Linked DNA regions of Saccharomyces cerevisiae S288C. Changing the gene in region 1 together with any one later gene gives a genetic interaction. Each region holds a gene or a part of one and is shown in the gene's direction. Other genes may lie near its edges.

Region 1 (8,898 bases):
TGATTTAAGATCCATTTGTCGTGTTTAGAGTTCTCATTGTTCTGGTCAATGATTTCAAACTCAAAAGGCACAAGAAACTTACAAAATTTGTTTCTTATGAACATTACGCCATGTTCTTTGCGAGCATGTGCTATACAGTCTTGCTAGAAAATGGCCCTATAATTAGAAAGCTCAAAAAATAACCCAATGCTGCATCGATTTTTGGAGAAAGGGGGTCAATCATCATCTATCTTCATAAATAACGAGTTGCAGAAAAATTGGAAACTGGTTGATTTTGAAAAGTTTTCATTTTTCTGGCAACAAATTATAGCTACAAAAAAAGAAGTTATGGCGCATAAGATGCATCAATATATGGTGTGACCAGATTGGACGTAACTAGTACTCATGTTATTATTCATATCCTTCATTTTTCCTTCTTTTCTTCTCCTTCTCGAACAGTAACTTCAGATTGAAAGACGTGAGGATGCTTTAGAATGCACATTAAAATTAATATACTACTGGCCTCTTGTGTTTGTCATTGGCTTCTATTTTCAATAAAACATCCAGACAACCCTGCTGTTAATTTTGGAAAAAAAATTTCGCCGATTCTAATCATGTGACTCCTTTTCCCCAGGCAATACCGGAGAAAGCGTTCTATCTCAAACTATATAATTTGCGCTGCTCGTCTCCAAGCCCATGCTAGTGTTTACTTTCGGTTGTAAAAGGTAACTAGAAGTTTTAACGCAAGCATTGTATTATATTTTCCCACAATTGCTCTTAAGGACCTTTTTTTTTCTTGCGTGATCCTGCACTATTGAAAAGTCTTTATCAAAAATAGATGAAACTTTTTCAGGGTTCAACATTTAGAGGCTTTTCTCATATTCTTTACTCAGTTGCCTGCGAAGACCCTTCTGCCCGCTGCGCATTTTCTTAGAAAATCAAAAAAATTGCCTTTTCATCTTTTACCTTCCGAGTTGAATATGTTGACTATTTGCAAACAGGCGTATGATTGTCGTATATAACAGGGCACTTTCGGCAGTGAATCAATAGGAGGCGTATAAGAAAAGCCAATTAGTACCTATATATATATATATATATATATATATATATATATATTCCTTTATTATAATTCCTATCAGCGATTTTTGCATCACACCCAAGAAAAATCTATAATAGAGACACAAAAAAATGAACGTAACTGAAAATGCTCTATTGTTTAAGTGCGGTAGCAAGGGCTATATTAATCAAACCTATACGCCGACAGAAATTTATAATTGTGGGGTAGCTGAAGGAAAGAAAACTGCTAAAGAAAAGAACCCAACTTATTCAATTTTTTATGATACATTTCTCACTGGGCAGCCTGCTGAAAGTCCTGAAACGTTTACGTGTGGTTCGCATGGCTTCACAAATGCGAGTTATGTGGCAAGCGACTTTTATGCATGTGGTTTTCTGCAAGGGAAAGGTACAGAAACCAATGCGGGAATACATAATACAAGGCCTTCTCATTCTCTCGCCAAATTTACCATACTGTTCATGCTAGTGTTGTATACAATTGTCTAATTCTCAAGGTATGACACTTTGGATTGGTGGTCGCAGTAGCCACCATATAATTTTTTATCGTTTCTACATATAATACGAGACAGTCAGACAGAACTTTGGGTCGCCTGAGAAGAAAGACTATAAAAATGTAACCCGTCAGTAGGACTCATCTTAAAACAGTGGGTAATTTACTAAGGAGGCTGGAAAAACTGCGATAATCGGCTTATAGTACATATATATAGAATAATCATTAATCGAGCCTTTACCGCGAAATTCATGGATTTCTCAAAAACAAAGGTGCAATTACATGTTAAGCACCGAATTTCTATGCGAAACAGGTCCGTCTCATCAGTCATAGCTTTCCAAGTATATAAAACTTGAACGCAAAAGTGCGTCATCGACGCCTTTTTTTGCGCAAGGATTGTTACTATTCATTTAATGAACTCTGATGTCTTAATAAGCCAATGGTATCCATAAGTGAAGGTGAAGTCTACTGTGTTACATTAGCAAGTCAGAACTCCTATACGATACAGTATACTGCATTATGGGCACTAAAATAATTTAGATTATAGAAAATATCGATACTATGCTTCCACTTCTCACGAAGCGGCCATGTTTTAAATGAAGTACGTTAACGCTAACACAAGGCTTGACAACTTTCATGAGCGTCAAATAGTCTACGTGTGGGCTCACTTTTTCAGATTTCTTCTTGGCTTTTGTGAGATGTATAATTAACAATAATCATAAAATCGCTACATAAAACAAAGCATAAAAAATTACAGATTTCCTGTTCAAAAATCAAATCGGTCCAGTTCAGCTATTGTTCTGCCGTTGTTCATGCTCAGAAAATTGGACCATGGTGTCATCTAACTTTAGTTGGTCCCATTAAGCTCTCTTCTGTATATCATGTTTGCCATATTGTCATATCATCTGCTTAGTATTAAACCGTTGTGGAAAACAAGAAAATTGCGAATTACTAGTATAGAAAATGCATTCTAAGTCGCCTGTGATTCCAATAGCAAAGAAATTGATCTTAATGGAAGTAGGAAATAGCTGTGGCAAAGAGACAGGATACTAAGATTGGTTTAAGGCGAGGTCATACTTAGCTATTTCCTTCACCAACATTGGTTTTCGAACAGTCAAGAGATGAAAACGCAAAAAAGTGCACTATAAAGTAAATACTCAAACGTTCCCAAAACAAAACGAGAAGAAGCGATAGGCACCTCAAAACTGAAATTATGGGCAAACAATATAACCCGTAAAAGATCACTTTACGACCAGAACATAATCAACATGGGTGGCCCCCATGTTGTACTCAGTTAGCTTTTTGAGCTAGCAAATATATCAAGAAGCCCGCATGTGCTACTTACGTTTGAATTACTTCTCGTTGTAACGCACTTTTCTACAACGTACCTCACTAGTAAATATAACTTAATGCTTGCAGGTTAGCCCATCGCTACAACACCTCCCCACAAAGTATTTACTTCAAGAAATCGATCTTGGCGAGTATATCCTTATCTTTATGTAAGTATCTTTTTCGTCTTCAAAGTATGCCGGGTATTGATGGGCACGGAAGATGTAAACAAAATGGAAAACAAATAAGAACAGAATCTGAAACGTCATTTGAGAATTTAAAATATGTAAATCATTCCTCTCGAGCCAACCAAGGCTGTTCTTGCTAGAAACCAGCAATTGGGCTTCTCATTCAAAACAGTATCCGTCTTTGCCTTAACATTGTTATTTGGCCTTTATCCCAGATATACGCAACCGTATTTATTCAAATCCAAAGAAAAAAAGAGCAGACAAATTATCAAACAACAAGTACCGGAGGTGAGCAATGATTCAAAATTCTGCTGGTTATCGATCGCTGAATACTGCATCTCCGATGACCGTGCAGGTGAAGAATCAGAAGAAAATATGCGCCCGTTGTAACAAGTTAGTTATACCCGATAGCCAACGAACTAAAACAACTTTAAAGGCTCTCGGTAAATATTATCATGAAAGTTGTTTTACCTGCCAAGACTGTCAGAAACCTTTAAAACCGAAGTACTTCCCATATCAAGTAGACAAGACAAGTGAATCTATATTGTTATGCCAATACGATTATTTTAGAAGACATAATTTGTTATGTCATGTATGTGATACCCCATTGCGTGGATTATATTATACCGCATTCGGTTACAGATACGACGAAGAGCATTTTTCTTGTACAATATGTGCTACTCCTTGTGGGGTTAAAAAATGCTTCATGTACGGAAACCAATTGTATTGCAAGTACCACTTTCTCAAGTATTTTTCGAAACGTTGCAAAGGGTGCGAGTTCCCAATATCGGATCAATATATCGAGTTTCCTAAAGGTGAAGAAATACATTGTTGGCATCCGGAATGTTATGGAATTCATAAATATTGGCATGTAAATTTAGCAGCAGAAACTGTTGGTTTGCAGTACCTTCCCAAGCTGGAATATAACCCAAATTCCGGAGACAAAGATATAAACCCAACTGCCTACGAGTTAGATAAACAAATGCAGGCGTTTAACTTTATTCTATCTAAAACGTGGTCGGTTTTATATCGTTTTGAGGAAGAGGCAGCTTCTTGCATTTCTGATATGTTTCAATATTTGACAAGCAATGATCAGTTAAAGGGCATAGAGTCTACGGGTCTGTTGGTACTAAAAATCGACTGTCTTTTCCGGGGACTGGATACTTTAAACCTCTCGACGAACAAAAGTATGCCAGTTAACAGTGATCAAGAATGCATTGAAAACAACGCAATGGCGGCCAGTAAATACAGCAAGTTTCCCAAAAATCTGTCCACAAAAATTATGATATATTTACAACTCTTAAGAAAGTTAGGGACAGAAAACAAAAACGAAACTATCACAATTTCATCTTTTATGTCTGTTATTACTGGATTAGCCCATTTTCTAAAACTGTTAACAAGATTTGGGCTATATACGGCTCTAGAAAACAATAAGTTGACTCATTCTGTTAATCCATTGTTGAGGTTTTTAAGAGAAGTAGAGAAAAATGAGCTTTTTGAAAATAACCCGTTTCAGTATATAAAGACTCCTGTTAACGCCACAGATAGTTGCGCTGGATGCAATAAATACATACAGGAGGAATGCATTCAATTTTATGAGCACCGGTGGCATATTGCTTGTTTTACTTGTTCTTCATGCCATAAGAATATAAATCCGAGGAGTTTGACGGATCCCACCTTTAATAAAGAGAAAAAAAAGATACTATGTTCTCACTGCTCAATTGATGATCCGGCCTCTGTGCCGGGTTTCAAATTTGTTACTAAGCTAGCACAACTAATTTTTCTTCTAAAAATTGCCCTAGTCAAATCAAGAACTGTAATGTTGAAATCGAAAGCATCTAACAAGGTAGGCAGAAACTCTTTACAGAGTACTATGCTAAAGGAACAAACTTACATTAGGACACTGAATGATATTAAAAGATTGAGATCTAGAAGAGAAAGTGTTCGGGTCACTCATAACAAACAACAAGCTAGAAAATCAGTGATACTGGAAACTGCAGAGACAGATTTAAATGACCCGACAAAACAAGGAGATAGTAAAAATCTTGTGATTCAAACAGATGACCCATCATCGAGCCAACAAGTGAGCACACGTGAAAATGTTTTCAGTAATACTAAGACGTTGACACTAGATGATATTTCACGTATTGTTGCCGCTGAACAAGCAAGGGAGCTAAGACCTAACGCTTTTGCACACTTTAAAAAACTAAAAGAAACCGATGACGAAACTTCGAATGTTGTTCCCAAGAAAAGCGGAGTTTATTACTCTGAATTAAGTACGATGGAACTCTCGATGATAAGGGCTATCAGTTTGTCACTGCTAGCTGGTAAACAACTGATATCGAAGACTGATCCTAACTATACTAGCTTAGTCTCAATGGTCTTCTCGAATGAAAAGCAAGTCACAGGTAGCTTTTGGAACAGAATGAAAATCATGATGAGCATGGAGCCTAAAAAGCCCATCACTAAGACTGTTTTTGGTGCTCCTTTAGATGTGTTGTGCGAGAAATGGGGTGTTGATTCCGATTTAGGTGTGGGGCCAGTGAAGATTAGGATCCCCATAATTATTGACGAGCTAATATCATCTTTGAGGCAAATGGATATGTCAGTAGAAGGTATTTTCAGGAAAAATGGAAATATCAGAAGACTGAGAGAACTAACTGCTAACATCGACAGTAATCCAACAGAAGCTCCAGACTTCTCGAAAGAAAATGCAATCCAATTATCTGCTCTTTTGAAGAAATTTATCAGAGAGCTTCCCCAACCGATTTTATCGACAGACTTATATGAACTATGGATTAAGGCCGCGAAAATTGATTTAGAGGATGAGAAACAGCGTGTTATATTGCTAATATATTCCTTATTACCCACTTACAATCGCAATTTACTGGAGGCACTTTTGTCATTTTTGCATTGGACGTCCTCATTCTCTTACATTGAGAATGAAATGGGATCAAAAATGGACATTCACAATTTATCCACAGTCATAACACCTAATATTTTATATTTGCGACATAAAGAAATTTCCAATGATAACGTCCCTGACGAACCAGAATCAGGTTTAGTTGATTCATTCGCTCAAAACAAGGGAGAAAATTACTTTTTGGCTATTGAGATAGTTGATTACCTGATTACTCACAATGAAGAAATGGCAATGGTTCCGAAATTTTTAATGAATCTTTTAAAAGATGTGCAGTTACAAAAATTAGATAACTACGAATCAATCAACCATTTTATTTCCACCGTTATGCAAAGTAAAACAATCGATTATTCCGAATGTGACATAAAAACTCCTGTCACAGTCAAAGATTCGACCACAACGGTCATACAAGGTGAAATAAACAAATAATAGGCAGAAACTGTAAGTTTCCCCTCATTTTCCTTTTTTTCTTCTCCTTCCCCTCAGATTTCGAGGTTTGTCGTTCTTATTAGAGTTCTTTGCTTTTTTCTTTGCCTATTTCAATAAAATCTTACCAGTATGCTATGGAAATGGACATTATTTTATTATTATACAACATAGTATATTCTGACTAAAATGGAATTAGAAATTGTAACATTAGTATGTACTTATAATCATTTGTATCATTGTATTACTCGCCTTTTGATGTAAATTTTGTTTATATCTCAGAACATCTCCAACAGCAGATCAGAAGTTACATTGTTCTTGTAAGTGCTTAAGAAGTCTGTTAGCAAATTGAAATCTTTCAGAAGAATATTCCACCAAAATTTCGGAAAAGCAATACCAGCGGTAAAATATCTGCCATGCTCTATATTATGTGACTTTATTTTAGGTGCACCCCCCACCAGTAACTTATTCTCTAAATAATAATTAATGACACCATTGAATATATTAGTTCTAAATAAAAAAAAAAAAGCTAAGAAAAGAAATATTTAAACAACGCTTGCAAATCATACTCAAGAGGATGCTTTACTTCAGCAATATCATGATTGTTCAAAAACTCATTCATTGCGACCTTTCTTCTACTTTTGAAATCTAACTGTTTACCAAAAACCTTAAGGTTCAAATCATTAGCAAATTTTGTGAGAAGTGTAAGCTCACATCTAAGTTGAATGACAATTGTTGGTACAATTTTTAAGAAGGTTTTTAATGGGATATCCAACACAATTAATAAATTTTTGATTAGATTTTGCGATTGCACATAGGTAAGGTCTGTCAGAATATCAAGACCCAAGGAGTCGTACTTTTCCTTCGTTATATGTGGAAAAGATTTTCCAACAGTTTCAAAATTAAGTTCGGTAGAAGGATCACCATATAGTTTTTTTAAATTCAGCTTCTCTTGGAATACATCTTCTTTTAGTGATAGAATTGTTTCTTCGAGTTTTAATATTTCACTTTGTTTTCCAGCTAACTCGTCAGTAATTTTCTTATGTGTGTTTTCTGACTCTTGAATTTGAGTGCTCCATCTTGAAGCAATCAAAGCCTGATTCTGAAGTTTCTCAACAATTTCCTGGTGTTCATTCATGTAATCGTTCAATTTATCTTCGGCATTTTTCTGAATTTTTTCACTTAGTATTAATTTTTCTTTTAACTCGCTCTTCAGTTTTTGAAAGTTTTCTTCCTTGAGGTTCAGGATATCATGCCATCTCCTTTTTTCCAAACGAAATTGTTGTTCTTTTGTTAACGCCTCTTTTTGAAGATATTTTATTTTGTGACTGTGCTGCTGTTGCATAAAATGTAATCTTTCATTAATCAATTTAAAGACAGAAATGATTTTTTCAAGACGTATACGGTCATTCTTTTCCAAAAGTTCTATCTTTCCTTTTAATTGTTTGTATTGCTCCATATTTTCAAGATTTTTGATATCTTGAAAATCCGGATAAAGCTTGGCAAAACCGTTTTGAAACATCGAAGGGGAATGGCCACATTTCATTTCTTCTAGTATGAATTTACCAAGGTCTTTCTCAAAAAGAGAAAGATTTTGCATATAGCTGTAAACATCATTTAACCTTTTCTCGTAAAACGAACCATTATCATGTAATTTTTTATTTTCATCTTGAGAAAGTTGCAAATTGCTTTTCAGTATTTCAACTTCAGATCTTAATTTTACTATAGAGTTATTCGATTCGTTAATATCTTTTAGAAATTTATCATTTTCTTGCTGCAAGTTTAGGATTTGTTTTTGCTTCCTGTATAGTTCCGAAACTAAAATATTTCTTTGAGAAAAAGCTTTACATTTAGTTTTGGCACTAGTCACTTCATTCTTCTCCTTCTTGCTAGCGTTTTTGTTTTGAAAGTCTGTAATTTTTTCTTCTCTAATTTTTTTAATTTCTTTGCGAAACCGGTCCTGAACAATGTTGAGCCTTTTTGATGCAGCTTTTCTTTCGTTGTGGAATTCCTTCTGCAAGTCTTCTATTCTTTGAAGTTTAGCATCATTCATGCTATTAAGTTCTTCTAGTTCTTGAATCCTGTCATCCTTCTCTTCTAGTTTTTGTCTTAGTGCTTTGATCTCTTCATTTTGGGACTGGAGCTCATCTAATACCTTGGGTAAACTATTTTCTTTAGAAATACTTCCTCCATATGATGAAGAAGATAGCCTAATTTCTCCTAATTTCATATATTCGGACTGTTCTTCATCTGGAGTTTTAGATGAGCGAAATACGTTCTCTAGATGCGCAACCTCTATATTCTCCTCCAGACTCTCATTGCTTACAACATAATGCTCATCATTTGAGATTGCTGCGACTTTGTGGGGATTCGTGAGGAGCTTTGTAGGTGTAGAAGAAAATCTATTCACTTCAATACTATTGTGTACTTTGTATGTGGTAAATTTACCAGGGCTTACATTTCCTAATGTACTGGGCTTTCCTGCAGGTGAC
Region 2 (9,400 bases), on another chromosome or scaffold:
ACAAGCTATTATGAGACCAAAAGGCTTGTTAATCCAAAAACTTTCCACCAGCTCGTCATTTTGTAGTGATGAGAACAGGTCTGGAAAGAAATTTTGGAAGATCTTATTTTCTACCAAGTGGCTTACACCCATTCTGAAGAAAGTTAGAATATCTCTTGAGCTAATAAAATCTAATGAATATTCTTGCAAAATTTTTACACTGATGGAGGACTCCAACCGGCTTTTAACCTGCTTAAAGCGGCTTTTCCCTTTCTTTAAACTAGAGGACTCCTTCCCAATCACACAACGTTGCTGCTTATCCATTTTTTCAACATTACTACTATGATAGTGAATATTGATAAGGCCGCTGTTGACCTTAATCATCGAATTAACGAGTGTTTCCATTTTGATATCTCTGGGTGAAGTCGAATCAACGTCACCAACGCCAAGTGATACAGGGATATCAGCCTTATCGCCTGTCATTGACGCGTAACTGGATAAGAGGAAGGTTCTGTGGACAGTCCTGATGTGTCGCTGTAAGAGATCGCGTCTAACAAAAGAGTGTTTACAGACTTGGCACTGGAAAGGCTTCACGCCCGCATGAGACCTTTCATGCCTTATCTTGTGCTCGGATCTCGAGAAAGGCTTCAAACAAAAGGAACATATATATTTTTTTTGACCCGCAGCCATAGCAGTGATAATGCAAATACAATTACTGTATATCAACAATTGTCTTCTCCCGAGAGAAGGTTTTAAATAAAAGCGACAAGTAAAGCTCTTAAGCCATGCCAACTGGCATGAAGAAGAACCGAAAAAGAAGAAATAGAAAGCAGAAAAATGTAAAACTAAACTTTATAAGTACTTTGAAGATGCGTTCTATATAAATATGTGGGGTTAAGTGAACATGACTCGAAATCTATAATGCAGCGATTACGATAAGTATCCACATTAAACGTCAATTATTTTGCGTTGTAAGCATATGCGCGGGGGAGGGGGCGCACCCTTGAAGTGCAGTCTGTCTATCATATTACTGAACCATTTCCTTCGCTTGACTTACATCATTGGCAACACATGCCTGGATCGCTTTAGCGGCTACCTTTAGTCCATATTTTCTTCTATTACCAGATCCCATCATCCCCCTTTGTCCGATTGACGACCATTTTGCCGCGGACGATCGGAGGGGATTGCCAACGCGGGGTAGCCGACTCGGGGCGCCGAGAGCGGGGATCAGTCATCGTCGCAGTAAGCGGGTACGGACCCTGTCACGTAAGACGATGCCGATGCCTGCGCCTGCGCCTGCTCGTATGACGGCACTGTCAGTACCACCGAATCGGCGCCGAGCGGCTGTAGCGCCGGCATGAGATGATCGTTGGTGCTCTCGTGATAATTCGGTGGCGGTTGTGGCAGCGCGAGGTGCGCCGTTGTAGTGGAGTTCAGTTCAACGCCTGGAGTCAGACCCTGCGCGGGGTAAGTGGTTAAAAAAAGGGGTACTAATTCGCCAGGGCGGAAGTGGATCTTGCCATCGTGTTTATCAAACAACACTAGACGGCCTTTCATAGGCAGATGCGGCGAAATAAATAATAACATAGGTAATTGCGCCTTGATCTCCAGGTTCTTGTATTCGCCATCCACTTGACGTTGTAAAAGAATACGTACCTGCAATTTGTGCATGACACGGATTAGGTTGTCTTGCAGACAGCAGTCTTGAGTTATTTGTTTGAGGTTATCTGGAATTGTAAAGGGACAATCGACGTCAAGTTTGTCCGTCAGCGGGCCGAAGTCCGCTAGATGAGTAATTTTCATGACGGCTATTTCATCATCATAAATTTGTGCGCTGCTGTCCTTCATTGCGTAATATTGGATTAGCGCCATTTCTATCCTATCCAAACGAATGTTCTTTTCGAAGGGGAAAATCTTAATCTTCACGGGGGTTGTGCTACCAATAGGAACAGCCCTACTCGGGATGGACGTTTCGTATTGCAACTTGTCACGCCAAGTATTACCCACGCTAATTTCTTCTTGCATGGCAAGATTGTCCATCGATAATGTACGAAGGATTCTGAGATACTTGAACTTTTTGATGATAATTTTATTCTTCGTTCTCATACCATTGCCGCTCGTACTTGTGCTACCGATTGGACCGTGAGGAGAAGTATGAACGCTCAGATCAGTATCCCATAACTGACGTCCATCTATAATGGCTTCAAAGGAATACAGTATGCTACCACTTTGTAGTCCCTCGATTGTTTCGCACACTTCTGGGGGGAGCATTGTATTGAAGGGTAGTTCGTAGTTGCCTCTTTTCATTAGGAATAAGTACGAACTTCCAGACCCGTCTCTGTTACTATAACTATGGCTATTGTTATTGAGGGTGTTACTACTACTGCTTCTACTACGGGCGTTTTCTCTTAAACCCTCGAAAGGGGTTCCTGTAACACCATTTTCTGGTAGCTCTAGTATTTTTCTGTGGGAAGAATGGGTCTTTCTTCGAATTATTTTGTTGAAAACAGGGCTCGAAAGTGATCTCTTGCTTAGAAATATTGCGTTGCCGCTGGTGTCCATATCTTGGTTGCTTGTACTGCGACCGCTACTACTGTTATGTTGATTTTCCGCATTTTCCCCACCGACTAAAACATCCCCTTTTGAAGAAACCAATAAGTTGTCCCAATAGCATTCGAAAATCTTACGCTTTTCCTTAACTAGACTTGCCAAACTACTGCTATTCTTCTTATATCGGCCAACTTGCAAAAACTCCAATTTGAATCTTCCTACCAATCTCAGCGAAATTTTCTTCACTACGATCTCATTTTTCACTGAAATCACTAAGTTTCCTGATAAAGGTATAGACGACAGTTCCAACGGTGACCCTTGGATCAAAATTATGTCCTTGTACGGGGAGTTTATTCTAATATCAAAATAACTTATTCTCTCTCTTTCCTTCTGCTCTGAATGCCCACCGCTGCTAGATAGCGAACTAAGTGAAAACATGGTCTTGCTTCACCCTATTCTCGCCGAGAGCTGTACAAGATATTTTTTACTTTTGCCATCTTATACTCATCCTAATCATCTGTTTCATTTTCCTTCTATTTCTTTTTTTTTTTTTTTTTTTTTTTTTTTTTTCAGTTTTCGAAGAAACTGCCTTTTTAGAATTGTAAAAGACGAAGTGAAGTATTCAGGAGTATATTATTACATACATACAAAGCAAGACAAAGAAACATTTTTAGATCTAACATTTTACTTCAATTGTTTTTGTATTCCTTATAATAAGAAAGACCTGCTGTTTAATGTGGGAGTAATCCGTCCCCTACTCGATCTTCAATAAATTGTCATCTTGTATCTAAAGGAGCGCTCCAGTACTCCAATTAAGCACCACCTAGTGCGTCTAGTGTCGATTTTTTTTTCACGCATACGTTTGTATGTTTCTTAAATTTCCCATGATTTTTTGTTGCCAATGTCATATCTACAAACTCTATACGAAAGTAAACGCACTTCATCTTTTTTGCCCTAAAACGGCAATATTTAGACATATCATAAGGGGCCCAAGGGAGAATCGTTAATTTTAAACTTTTCTTTGCTCTTGAATGAAAAAGTAAATAAATAAAACTAAATCAAAAAAAAGAACGCCACGTTTGAATTTTAAAGCAAAAATTTTGTTGATTTAGTAATGATATAAATAAAACCAAGTCGTTGGTAAGAATTTGGTTAGGTTATGAATAGTAATGAACTGGATCTAAGAAATAAATATTTTTATGAGATATTCGGTAAGAAAAGAAAATCAGATACTTCAACCCCTACTCAGTTGTTCTCCGGCTCCAAAGTTCAGACAAACATCAATGAAATTTCTATCACTAACGATGAGGATGAAGATAGTACTGAAGATGAAAATAAGGCTTCATTGAAGGATTATACACTAGGGCACGACACCGGTGCACGGTATAGGATAGCACCGGACTGTTCTTCCCACCAATTAAAGGCATCTCCTGTCCTACATATTTCAACAAACCTTAATTCAAGTCCACAATCCTTCACAGGCGATCAGATTTCACCTACTAATAAAAAAATTTCAATAAATGATTCGACCAGACAAGATAAAGGTAACAGTTGCACTACCACTTCATCACCTTCTCAAAAAAGATCGAATGTTTTGCTTCCTCACGTAAGAAAACATTCATCTCCTTCACTATTATCATTTTCCAAAAACAGTGGCAGTCATATGGGGGATCCAAACCAGCTATCTACGCCTCCAACTCCCAAAAGTGCAGGTCACACGATGGAGTTACACAGTTCATTCAATGGAAAACATAGTTCTTCTAGCACCTCTTCTTTATTTGCATTAGAGTCACTGAAAACCCAAAATAGACGCTCATCAAACTCTTCCAATCATTCTAGTCAATATCGACGCCATACTAATCAACACCAACGTCATCATTCAAGGTCCAAATCAAGTCCTGTCTCTCTGACGGAAATATCCATGATCAAAGGCACGCCTTTGGTTTATCCTGCACTTTTATCACTAATAGCAATTAAATTCAAACAGACCATCAAATTGAGCACGCATAAAAAGATGGGGTTACTTTACAGAGATTCCTTTACAGGAAAACAAGCAATTGATACTTTATGCTTGATCATAGGAAGCTTAGATCGTAATTTGGGCATGTTGATCGGAAAATCGCTGGAAGCTCAAAAATTGTTCCATGACGTACTTTATGACCATGGCGTAAGAGATTCTGTACTGGAGATTTACGAGTTATCTTCAGAATCAATTTTTATGGCACATCAGTCGCAGAGTTCTACTTCAATTGCCAACACATTTTCTTCATCATCTTCTTCAGTTAATTCGCTCCGTACTAAAACTGAAATATATGGTGTTTTTGTCCCATTGACACATTGTTATTCCTCTACATGCTCTCTGGAAAAACTTTGCTACTCTATTTCTTGCCCCAATCGTTTGCAACAACAGGCTAATTTACATTTAAAATTAGGTGGTGGTCTTAAGAGAAATATTTCGTTAGCACTCGATAAGGAGGATGATGAACGAATTTCCTGGACAAATTCTGTACCAAAGAGCGTATGGGAATCATTATCCAAACAACAAATCAAAAGGCAGGAGGCAATATATGAGTTGTTTACTACAGAAAAGAAGTTTGTAAAATCTTTGGAAATCATCCGAGATACTTTCATGAAGAAATTATTAGAAACGAATATTATTCCATCTGATGTAAGGATAAATTTTGTAAAGCACGTTTTCGCACATATCAATGAAATATATTCTGTCAATAGAGAATTTTTGAAGGCTTTAGCACAAAGGCAATCATTAAGCCCAATTTGTCCTGGAATTGCAGATATATTTTTGCAGTATCTTCCTTTCTTTGATCCTTTTCTGTCATACATAGCATCAAGACCATACGCAAAGTATCTAATTGAAACCCAAAGATCAGTTAATCCCAATTTTGCTCGTTTTGACGATGAAGTGTCTAATTCTTCCCTGAGGCATGGGATCGATTCATTCCTATCTCAGGGTGTTTCAAGACCTGGTAGATATTCACTGTTGGTAAGAGAAATAATACACTTCTCGGACCCAGTAACAGACAAAGATGATCTACAAATGCTAATGAAAGTCCAAGATCTTTTAAAGGATCTAATGAAAAGGATTGATAGAGCAAGCGGTGCAGCACAAGATCGTTATGACGTTAAAGTGTTAAAGCAGAAAATTCTATTCAAAAATGAATACGTTAATCTGGGTTTGAATAACGAAAAAAGGAAAATCAAGCATGAAGGTTTACTCTCAAGGAAGGACGTGAACAAAACAGATGCGTCCTTTTCAGGAGACATTCAATTTTACCTACTCGACAATATGCTATTATTCTTGAAATCAAAAGCTGTAAACAAGTGGCACCAACACACTGTATTTCAGAGACCAATTCCACTCCCTTTACTGTTTATTTGTCCGGCTGAGGATATGCCACCCATAAAAAGATATGTGACAGAAAACCCAAATTGCTCAGCGGGTGTGCTCTTACCCCAATATCAAACGAGCAATCCCAAGAATGCTATTGTATTCGCCTATTACGGTACGAAACAACAATATCAAGTTACTTTGTACGCGCCGCAGCCGGCCGGATTACAGACATTAATAGAAAAGGTGAAACAAGAGCAAAAAAGGCTCCTTGATGAAACTAAACATATTACTTTTAAGCAAATGGTAGGTCAATTCTTTCACTCATACATAAATACTAATCGCGTCAACGATGTCCTAATCTGTCATGCTGGTAAAATTTTATTGGTTGCAACAAATATGGGACTCTTTGTTCTTAATTATGCTACATCGATCAATCAAAAACCAGTGCACCTTCTGCACAAAATATCAATTTCACAGATCTCTGTATTGGAAGAATATAAAGTTATGATTCTTCTAATTGACAAAAAACTGTACGGCTGTCCTTTAGACGTAATCGACGATGCAGAAAATGCAGATTTTCTTTTCAGAAAAAATTCTAAAGTGTTATTTAAATATGTTGCAATGTTCAAAGACGGTTTCTGTAATGGTAAAAGAATCATTATGATTGCACATCATTTTTTGCACGCCGTACAATTATTGATTGTTAATCCTTTGATATTTGATTTTAATAGCGGTAATTTTAAAAAAAACCTAAAGGCAGGCTTGGTAGATTTTAGCGTTGATTCTGAACCTCTGTCCTTTTCTTTTTTGGAGAATAAGATCTGCATTGGTTGTAAAAAAAATATCAAAATATTAAACGTACCGGAAGTGTGTGATAAAAATGGATTTAAAATGAGGGAGCTTTTAAATCTACATGATAACAAAGTTTTAGCGAACATGTATAAAGAGACGTTCAAAGTAGTTTCCATGTTTCCGATAAAAAATTCAACTTTTGCATGTTTTCCAGAACTCTGCTTTTTTCTCAATAAGCAAGGGAAGAGGGAGGAGACAAAGGGATGTTTTCATTGGGAGGGGGAACCAGAACAGTTCGCGTGTTCCTACCCTTATATTGTGGCAATTAATAGTAACTTTATTGAAATTAGACATATAGAAAATGGAGAACTTGTCCGCTGTGTACTTGGAAACAAGATACGTATGTTAAAATCATATGCCAAGAAGATCTTATATTGTTATGAGGATCCTCAAGGATTTGAAATTATCGAACTGTTAAATTTTTGAGTTGACCGCCCATATTAATACCTTAAAACTTATTTCTTGAACCTATACATCTAAATTTAAGTAATATTATTTTATTTGTATAACCATATGTAGTTTACCTGAAATATATGGGTGCCATTAAGAAAATATAATACAATGGACAAGAATTTTGTCCTAGAAAATAAAGTCTTGAAAGTATATTGTCCTTTCCTTTGGAATATTATGTCACTAGCAAGCATCGAAAATTGATCCAGAGTGAAAATTAATTTTTTCGAGATTAAACTGTGAATTCAAAAGTTTGATTTTAATTGTTTCCTCACTCAACTTGGTACTGAAGTCTTGATTAGCTGTTAGAGAAGATAATTCTGACCGTATTGAAGATGTCGAATTTACTGAAAGCAACTGAAGTAAAATATCGATTACTTCAATCTTGTTTTTACTGCTTATGTAATTATTCCAAATTGAATCCGAGATAGGAATATGAATATCAAATGTCTCTTCCATGGGATTTAGGCACCATTCCCCCGAGTTAGAGTCGTTTTCCTCAGATAACTCATGTTTTGTAAAGTGAGATCCATCGAAGCTAATATCATTATCATTTAAGTAGTCATGGTATGCATTAGGCAGCTCATGCGCAATTCTGTTGACATAGCGTAATAGATCATCCCGAATGATTTGGACAAGTAATGAATCTTCTGTTAGTGGTGCGGTTAACTTGGTGTTACATAAAAGCTCTACGTCCCGTGATTCTTTCATAAAAATGGCCTCGTAGTCAGAAAGAAGATTATTACCGGAATTCCGACCGCTCTCCCCACCACTATTAGAGGAACGAAAATTAGTTATATTGATAAAGTTTTTAAGATACCTTAGAACAATTTTGGTCATGTTATGAACTATTTTATTTACCGATGTTGTGCCAAAGATTTCATTTAGAAGGCTTTTACTTTGGAAGATTGATGGATACAGGAAAGCACCAATCAAGTTTACATCATCAAGTAAATAAAGGTCTTTAACTTTTAGAAGCCTTGCTAGGATTTTTTCAAAGGGCTTTTTAGATTTGGTGAATTTGAAGCTTCGTATAATCTCTGTCAAATATAACTCAAACTTAATGATAAAAACCAAGGTATGGGTAAATTTCAATGGAGCGGAAGAAGCAAAGTACTCAATTGATTGCTCGAAAGTTCTTAACGTCTCTTCTACCGTGTTTATTAGACGAAAATCGGATTCACTAAGTGATTCATTTTCTAAATGAGAGTTGATAGACTTGAAGAAAGGAACTAAGTTTGCAAATTTTTCTAAGATACTCTTCAAAGCTGAAAATCTATCGCAGTTACAGGAAAGGATTGAAGTAAGTTCATTGCAGTTAGGTTGTGTATAATTTTGGCAGTATAATAGGAAATCCGATTTTAGGGAGTCGTTTAAGTTAACTTCTTCTATCAAACAGCATATTTTGCCGAGAATAGTAGATGATAAATCAATATGGGAAAAATCTATTAATGAGTCTAACAAAGAGCCTCCTGAATGATTTTCTTTGGCCACAGAAAAGGAAGACAGCATTGATTCAGTAGGAACATTAAACAACGGCTGTAAAAAACAATGAAGTAATTCAGATACTATGCAAGTATGGTACTTTATCTCCCTCACACTCCCGCTATGGAAAGTAAAATTATGACTGTTTCTATTCTCTAGTACCATTGTATAATGGCTTTGAGGCAAAGTTATAGAAATCACCGATTTTTGTAAGCCAGGGTATTTCGAATACAAATTGTTGAGCTGTTCCTGCCAGACACTAATATCTATATCCGTTGTTTTACGTACAAAAATAGATAATGGTAAACCCTTCGAAACTTTGTTGGTATTATCGAACAGTTGCAAAGAAAATAATGATCTTTTTCCAGCCAGTTCTGTAAAATTTACAGAAATAAGATGGGATAAGTCCAAGTTAGACAATTGTGCCCGAATTTCCCTAGAATATTTCAAGTAAAGAGGTTGATTTGATTCCTTACTATCGGATAAATGGATAGTAAAGGGTAATTGTGTATCATTCCTTGATATAGACCTTCTGATCAACTCATCAATTGATTTTGACAACCCTATAATTGACTCCTCTATTATATTGGTAGTTAAAGGAGGGATCCTATGAAATTTTGATAAAAGAGATTTAAAGGACACATTCTCAAAGAAGTTCAGCGGTAAATTTTCTGAGGCTATGACTATGGCTACTAATTGGGAAATAGAAAGGTAATTACTGCTCTGTAATTTTCC

What was found. Genes that interact genetically often act in the same process or in processes that back each other up.
Region 2: of LRG1 (region 1) and ROM1, a mutation in one rescues a mutant of the other (synthetic rescue), as found in Saccharomyces cerevisiae (2 studies listed by BioGRID).

The regions. Positions count from the first base shown.
Region 1 is NC_001136.10:19,468-28,365, forward strand, and holds LRG1 (GTPase-activating protein LRG1), read left to right. Parts: upstream 1-3,355; coding exon 3,356-6,409; downstream 6,410-8,898. Other genes in the region: YDL241W (uncharacterized protein), read left to right, coding at 1,168-1,539; ADY3 (Ady3p), read right to left, coding at 6,936-8,898. UniProt on the Saccharomyces cerevisiae protein: Acts in signal transduction. Activates CDC42, RHO1 and RHO2. Negatively regulates 1,3-beta-glucan synthesis. May be responsible for the down-regulation of CDC42 during mating.
Region 2 is NC_001139.9:624,118-633,517, forward strand, and holds ROM1 (Rho family guanine nucleotide exchange factor ROM1), read left to right. Parts: upstream 1-3,688; coding exon 3,689-7,156; downstream 7,157-9,400. Other genes in the region: YGR067C (uncharacterized protein), read right to left, coding at 1-669; ART5 (Art5p), read right to left, coding at 1,207-2,967; ENV11 (Env11p), read right to left, coding at 7,364-9,400. UniProt on the Saccharomyces cerevisiae protein: Stimulates the exchange of RHO1 GDP-bound form into GTP-bound form.